2 linked regions of the Nothobranchius furzeri genome follow. The protein of the gene in region 2 interacts with the protein of the main gene of each other region in a pairwise test. Links are inferred from orthologs where the notes say so. Each region holds a gene or a part of one and is shown on either strand. Other genes may lie near its edges.

Region 1 (4,204 bases), on a different chromosome or scaffold from region 2:
AGCCATTTGGGGAGTTGTGTGGAGAAAACGTGAGCTTGGTGCTACAACAACCATTCTGTCCCGCTCTGCAACAAACCATCCAGTTTAGAAAAGAACCTGAAAAACGTCAAATGTGAACTTGTAATGAGTCTCGCTGCATTCATCACACTGTTAGGCTGACTTTGTGTGTTAGCTCTCAAGCAAACCTAACAGGACAGACTAGTTATCGTAGCGCTAAGTTGTCATTTTGATCATAAACTCCCCTAAACAGCTGTTCTGTTGGTGGCAGCGCAGGCTACACTTAGCGAGGGAAGACGGTTTGCTGCTAAATGAGATGGCCAATCAGAGGTGAGAAAGTTGGGATCTTCCTTGGACATCCTACTTTCCCAATATCTGCGAGCAGTCCGGACACTCTGAAGTTGCCAGCGTGGTATTCCGGCCACGAGGGCCGAGTGGTGTTTGGTTAACCCTGTAAAGGGTCATTTTAGCACATCCTGGCTCAAGAAAAGGATTTAAAACAGGAACATGACAGTTTTAAACCCCCTCCAGGGATGCTGTGAGATCATCTCTTGCTGGTCAGTCTTTCATCCATAAGCACTGATCCTCTATTAATGAATGATTAGTGATTCTGTCTCACTCGTGTGCGTTTGTAGGAAACTCCGCCTGTCGGCCGTAGGACTGATGACTTCCACTCATCTCCCCTCTGACCCAGCGTCCACACACATCCGTTACATGTTGGCTCTCACCTCCATCATCACACAAAACACCACAGAAACATAAAAATCCATAGGTGTGAAGGGAATGTTCAGAAAGATTCTTCTCATTTTCCCCCGTTTGGTGCTGAAGCTCCAGCTCCTGCAGCCACGGAGGCAGAAGAACCAATCAGAAACCGTGATGCAACACCTCTGCAACACGCTCCTTTGTGTCCGACTAAAGTCTGATGCACCTTGTTTGATTCTACAATAACCTTTTAGAGGATGTTTCATGAACAGGTCATTTGCAGATTTTCTTTTCCATTCACAGGATTTTACCTATGACCTTTAACCCCAGAGGTCACAGTGGACAGCTATTCAGAACTTAGAAAATGCAAGGATGTAATAACCTACGTAGCAGTGGTGCATGGTGCTTTTATCTCCATCCTAGAGCCCAATAGGACCAGAACCTCGTGACTACAGCGGGCCACCAAAGCTTCTGATAATAATAATAATAATAATAATAATAATAATAATAATAATAATAATAATAATAATAATAATTGTTGTTATCAGAACAACGATCCAGGCCATGCTCCCGTGGAGCTGCGGGTTAAAGCCTGAGTCACTGCGGCTCCATCCGACCCCTCCCCCAAAACCCTGATTCCTCACAATAAACAGGAGAGATGCTCGGAACGGGAGCGCGTGCAGAACAAAGGGCTCCGTGGGTGACACTGCGCATGTCTGCAGCCTCCACGCACGTGCTGTGAAGCCGTGCGGAGTCAGTGAAGATGTGATGTTTACGTCAGCTATCTTTTTAAACAACAACGATTAGAAACGTCCTCATCAGGCTCCGGGGGGAGGACCGGGACCGCGGGGGTGGGGGGTGCGGGCCCCCTTACCCCCCCCCCCCCCCTTCCGTTGCATCAGCATTGTGGGAGACAAAGGATGCTGCGGGATGCTGAGGGTGTCACCGCTCCTCAGACTGCTGCCTCACTGCAGCATCACTCCTCTTCATCATCTCAGATGAGAGGAAGATCAGATAGCAGAATGCTGCCTTCACGTCATTAGCATGGCATCTCTCACGCGCGAGCGTGCACGCAGCTCCTCATTCTGTGATGTAGTGAACAAAGACGGCAGCAGCTACAATTAGTCTGAGCGGAGGGAACATCATTCATCCTGAATAAATCAAAATCTGCACTGCCACACACACACACGCACACACACACACACACACACACACACACACACACACACACGCACACGCACACGCACACGCACACACACACACACACACACACACACACACACACACACACACACACACCGTCCACCTTGGGGTGGGGGTGGGGGTGACTAAGCCTCACTGCAGCATCACTCACATGACGCCGCTGTTTGACTCGCAGCTGATTTACACCGACGCTCACGTACGGATCTGTGACGGAACCGACCTGGACCATCGGAACCAACCCAGCTTACGCAGCAAATATGGAGCCGTGTGTGTGTGTGTGTGTGTGTGTGTGTGTGTGTGCTCCCACCCAGAGTAGAACATGAAGCCAAAACAAAGAGGAGAATGGTGCAGTCTGAACAAAACAGACTGTGGTTAATGCCTGAGTGATGCGTTTAAAGACCGAGTGATGCGTTTAAAGACCGCGCTGTTCGGGATTCCTGCAGCACCGAAACCTGAACAAACTGAGGAAAAGGCAGCGCGCGCCGCGTTGACTCAAAGCACAACAGGATGTGGTGGAGTTGTGTTTCACTCCTGAACCCGCGTTCACACCCCTACACACCCACGCGCGCGCGCACACACACTCAGTAATATAGTAATATTCGCACCAAGCGTGCGGTTTCTCACTCGTGCTTCTCTCTCTATCTGACTCCTTCCAGAACCAGCGGGGACCTGGTGGTTCGGTCCAGCCGCGGTTCTGCTCCAGTTTGACAGTAAAACTGGGACACGGCGGACCCAGGCGGGTCCCGGTGTGGGCAGTGGCCGCGCAGGCTGCTTACCTTCTGCTTTCTGGTTCGTGTGTTCCAGCCCGTCGGTCCAACAGAACTTCTTTCACATGATGACCCGCTCCGCCGTCTCCTCGGAGCCTCTCGGCGCATACAGACCAATCACGTCCCGGATTATTCTTCTCGCTTTTAACGGTATAAAAATACAAAACAGCGTGTGTCATGAACGTGCGCGAGCGCGCGCGTGTGGATGTGTGTGAGTGTGCGCCGTGCTCCCGCGCGGCGTGCCGCTCCGTCTCCGTTGTTTGTTACACTCGACTGGAACGCCTACTCTCAGTCGCTACATTGTTGACATTCGGCCGCTGACGTCACCTCATTCCCTCATTCACAACATCGTAGGCGCGCGCTGCCTTGCGTTACAGTAGGGGGGAGGCGCGCGTGTGCGCCGCGGAATTGGCGCAGCGGAGCTTCGAGAATGGGACCGCAGACCCGTTAGCTCAAATCCCTCCCCCCTCCCCACAGATCCTCCCGGTGCTCCTCCCCGGTGCTCGCGGCGGGACCGCGATGACACGAGGCACTTTTCACAACCTGAGAGGAGAAGTGGAGACGAGGCGAGAATGAGCTTCATTTTTCTGAATCAGAGCTCAACGATGAAAACTAGTACTACTATAGTACTACTAGCAGCACCAAGGAGAATTATACTAGTACTAGCACCATTGCACTTGCACATTCCTGTTTTTGGCATGCACGGTATTCAGGAAAACTGGGTTTTAATTTACGATCTTCTGGATTTTGATTAATATAAGAAATGTCTGCACTTGATTTTTCTTTTATTTATTTTTCTAATTTTTTATTCTCCCTGTGTTTTATTTATTTTTGCTGTTTGTTTTGGGAATTTTGTTGTATTTCCTTTTTATCTTTTATCTGTGTTCGACATGTTTGTATAAACTTTTTTTTTACCTGTTTAATTAACTAACATTTTTAGTGTACAGCGCCTTGTTTGGTTGTAATGCCTTGTGAATGCGCTCTATAAATAACATTGGATTGGATTGGAAAGTACAAAATGTTCAAAAACGTAGTTTTTTTAAAAATAAAATGTTCATCAAACTAAATTTCTGCCTCAAAACATTGGCAGTAAAAACAATAACATTTATTATTATCATTATTATTGTTGTTGTTAATATTATTAGTATTAAAGAAAGAAAGAAAACAATATTTTCTGTTGTGCCTCTCAAGATAAAAATCAGGAGGTGCTTCACAAAAACAAAACAAATTAAAGTATAAAAAAGATTTCAATAAATGTTTAAAAATATGTTTAAAATGAGAAAAAAATAAAAATTGTGATTTAAAAATGTAGGAAAGGAAGGGAGAAAATAAATAAATAGGAAAGAGGGAAACCAGTGGAATGAGGAGAGAGAGGTGATGAAGGTCACACCAAAGCCTGAACAAGTGAGTCTTCAGCTGCTTTTTAAAGGAGACCACTGAGTCCTCTGATCTCAGGCTCAGGGGGAGAGAGGTCCAGAGTCTGGGGGGCCATGATGATATTATTATTATCATCATTGTTGTTGTTGTTGGGTTCA
Region 2 (4,076 bases):
AACGAGCTATTAACCTAATCATCTGAATCAACTAATTAACTCAAAACACCTGCAAAAGATTCCTGAGGCTTTTAAAAACTCCCAGCCTGGTTCATTACTCAAGGAAAAAGTGTGGCAGAAAACGCTGCACAACGAGAAAAGGTGACCGGACCCTGAGGAAGATTGTGGAGAAGGACAGATTCCAGACCTTGGGAGACCTGCAGAAGCAGTGGACTGAGTCTGGAGTAGAAACATCCAGAGCCACCGTGTACAGGCATGTGCAGGAAATGGGCTACAGGTGCCACATTCCCCAGGTCAAGCCACTTTTGAACCAGAAACAGTGGCAAAGCGCCTGACCTGGGCTACAGAGAAGCAGCACTGAATTGTTGCTCAGTGGTCCAAAGTACTTTTTTCAGATGAAAGCAAATTTTGCATGTCATTCGGAAATCACGGTGCCAGAGTATGGAGGAAGACTGGGCAGAGGGAAATGCCAAAATGCCTGAAGTCCAGTGTCAAGTACCCACAGTCAGTGATGGTCTGGGGTGCCATGTCAGCTGCTGGTGTTGGTCCACTGTGCTTTATCAAGGGCAGGGTCAATGCAGCTAGCTATCAGAAGATTTTGGAGCACTTCATGCTTCCATCTGCTGAAAAGCTTTATGGAGATGAAGATTTCATTTTTCAGCACAACCTGGCACCTGCTCACAGTGCCAAAACCACTGGTGAATGGTTAACTGACCATGGTATTACTGTGCTCAATTGGTCTGCCAACTCTCCTGACCTGAACCCCATAGAGATTCTGTAGGATATTGTGAAGAAAGTTGAGAGACTCAAGACCCAACACTCTGGATGAGCTTAAGGCCACTATCGAAGCATCCTGGGCCTCCATAACACCTCAGCAGTGCCACAGGCTGATTGCCTCCATGCCACGCCGCATTGAAGTAGTCATTTCTGCAAAAGGATTCCCGACCAAGTATTGAGTGCATAACTGAACATATTATCTGAAAGTTGACTTTTTTTGTATTAAAACACTTTTCTTTTATTGGTCGGATGAAATTTTTTAGATGCTAATATGCTAATTTTTTAGATAGGAATTTTGGGTTTTCATGAGCTGTATGCCAAAATCATCAATATTAGAAACAATAAAAGGCTTGAACTACTTCAGTTTTGTGCAATGAATCTAATATATATGAAAGTCTAATATTTATCAGTACATTACTGAAAATAATGAACTTCATCACAATATGCTAATTTTTTGAGAAGGACCTGTAGAATCTCCCAATGAGACACTGAAGGTTCTGTCAGCCACGTGCGACACAAACCAATCCAGCGCGACCCTGCAAACACCCACAAAGTCTTCCATCCTAGAAATCAGGAGAGACTGATCAACAGTATCGAATGCAGCCGATAGGTCCAACAATATCAAAATAAAGTCCCCAGAATCAGTTGCCAATAAATGTAATTAAAAACCCAGAGCATTGCAGATTCTGTACTGTGGACTGGCTTAAAACCAGACTGGAATTTTTCTAAATGTAATTTCCCATCAAATACTGGACTAATTCCACATCTGCGTTCTTTTTGTGCATATAAAGGGCCATCATCTTTACTTGTTAGCTGCAGAGAAAGACAGAGATGGGCAGTACGCTTTATCACAAAGCCAAGCTTCTGATGCAAATATCATAATGTCACACACAGGAAGACAAAAGCAGCTGTCAAGTCGATGACAAACTGTTAAATTGTCATTGTCATATGAAAGGAAGCACACTGTTCAGCAAAAACTGAAGGCATGTGAACTGCTTGTCAGGTCATGTGCTTGTTTTATTCTTTACATTCAGGAATTAGCCTATACATGACAAAATGTGACCATCCAGTCATCGCGTGAGTCAAATCATGGCAATTTTACAATCGTTGTTCTCGCGCGCACGCACGCACGCACACACACGCACACACACGCACACACACACGCACAATCAGTCGTGTCTGTTTATCGTGACAGCGCTGCAACAAAACACACATTCTCAGCTAAATGTTGATCATCCAATAGACATATGGGCATGGCGGTCTTGACAAAAGAACTATTTCGATCCATCCTCCATATTAACGGAGGGTTGGAGATGAGCATCGACCCTTATCAGGCGAGCAGACCTTTGTCCGGTGGTGCCATATTTCGGGGTGGGTTCTCAGAATGTCTAAATCCGTCACTGTGATGATGCAGCATGATAAAAAAAAAAATAATAATACATATCGCTTTTTGGGGGCTTTGAAATTCAACATCTCTCTCGGGCTCACCGGCTGTGACATCCCCCCCCCCCCCCCAAAAAAAAATATGTTTGACTACCATTGTCAGGTTTTAACTAAATGAAAAGTCACTTAGGTTAAAAGCAATTCAACATGAACTGGTCGAAAAGCTATTTTCAGGACGATCAAATCAAAGCATTCACATAAACGAAACAATGTTCGATTTTAACAATCCATGCATGTTCGTCTTGGATCAGAAGAAAGAACATCAGCAACAACCAACCTGGTCTTGTTAAGCCGCTGGCTCGACTCGCGGTGATGAAGCAGCCTGTTCGACCAACAGCAAGATGCTCATGAGTTGACAAGCCACCGAAAAAAAAGAAGAAATAAAAATAAGGCTGACAAAACAGACGGCAGCACACCGACGTCTCGCAGAAGCCGCCTGCAGAGGTTTACATGCTTGTTGACATTCCACGACTCAACCTCTCGGTGCCTGATACTTGTCAAAGTGGAAAACTCCACGCCTGCAAAAAACACCAAGTGAGGACATCCCCATGCTCTACCTGCCTACTGTAAACCGCGGCAACAAGCAATTCCTCGAAATAGGAAATCACCTCCGGGACGCGGGATGGTGATACCCACATCAAAAAAACTGTTTCTCAACGTTTTACACGCAGCTGCAGCAGCTCGCCTATACTTGGCTGTAGCTTGTAGCATGGGGCGGAGTGGCCAGAGGCACGACAGCACCATACCATATAAGGAAGTCACTTCTGCGTCACGGGTCCCCGGAAGAATGAAAACATGAATGCAAGTCAATGGGGCTAAAAACGCTGTTTTCTAATTCTGCTTGTTTTGTGCCATGGATTTCACTTATGATGTCCGGGAATTTTAAAGAGCAAGTCATCCCCAAATAAACATTTTTTTTTGCTGCTAAACTAAATAAATGAGTGTCTAATCGTGCTGCAGACACGTTTCGTCAATAATTTGGCACTTCAGTGCATCTTAGTTAAAATTTAAATATTCTGCCTAAAACTGGCAGTGTTGTGCCGTTGTCAGGTAAAAACTCTGCACTGTATTCTAATTTAAATCTGCCACTGCTATTGGCTAAGAAGTATGCTATGACGTAAACTGGTACATTATGATGTCACATTGCTGTCGTGAGCCTGAGTGCGTGTGTATTTGTTAGCGGCTTCGCCCTCTCGGTCTGCCAGGCAACAGTATGTGTTGCATTTTTCAAACATGAAGTGGGAGTGGAGTTAGACTCTGGTAGGGGTTGACTTGCTCTTTAAAGACACATTTTGATACCAAGAGCGTGCGTATTTAGTGTTATTAGTGTTACACTTGGTTATGACGTTCGGTTATGTTAAGTTTTGAGTTAAACTTTACAGTCTGGTATACTGACCTGCAGATATAGCAGAGTATCCTCCTTGCAGATATCACCTGGCCAGTAATGTCTGCCTTTACAACATGATGTGACATAGCAGATGAGTGCCATGTTAAAGACTGTATACTACAGAAAATATTTCCAGAGACTTATCTTCCAAACCTACCTCCATACCAGCTGAGGAATCAGCCGCTCCAGAGTTTTTTGCTTTGTTGGGACGACATTTATTTTGTGGGGGAGAGTGTGGGGAACCAGTTAATGTTAAAGGCTAGAGAACATGACCCCCATTTGAATATTTTGTGTAATTATTTTGTTTGTGCAATTGTACTGTTTATGTGAGGCTAAGTTTGGTCACAGTCCAGCTCAAGTTGTGTTAGGGCAGCAGTAGCTCAACAGGTTGAGCGGGTTGTCCAGTAATCGGAAGGTTGCAGAGGATTCTGCTGTTGTGTCCTTGGGCAAGACACTTAACCCACCTTGC

Evidence for each region. The genes of interacting proteins can lie anywhere in the genome.
Region 1: the proteins of mafga (region 2) and bach2b interact in binary tests that used the Homo sapiens proteins (3 or more experiments, as listed by UniProt). The link is inferred for Nothobranchius furzeri from reciprocal best matches to the Homo sapiens genes MAFG and BACH2.

The regions. Positions count from the first base shown.
Region 1 is NC_091743.1:91,361,691-91,365,894, reverse strand, and holds the start of bach2b (transcription regulator protein BACH2), read right to left. Parts: upstream 2,899-4,204; 5' UTR 2,679-2,898; intron 1-2,678. UniProt on the Homo sapiens protein: Transcriptional regulator that acts as a repressor or activator. Binds to Maf recognition elements (MARE). Plays an important role in coordinating transcription activation and repression by MAFK.
Region 2 is NC_091752.1:59,016,611-59,020,686, reverse strand, and holds the start of mafga (v-maf avian musculoaponeurotic fibrosarcoma oncogene homolog Ga), read right to left. Parts: upstream 2,937-4,076; 5' UTR 2,498-2,936; intron 1-2,497. UniProt on the Homo sapiens protein: Since they lack a putative transactivation domain, the small Mafs behave as transcriptional repressors when they dimerize among themselves.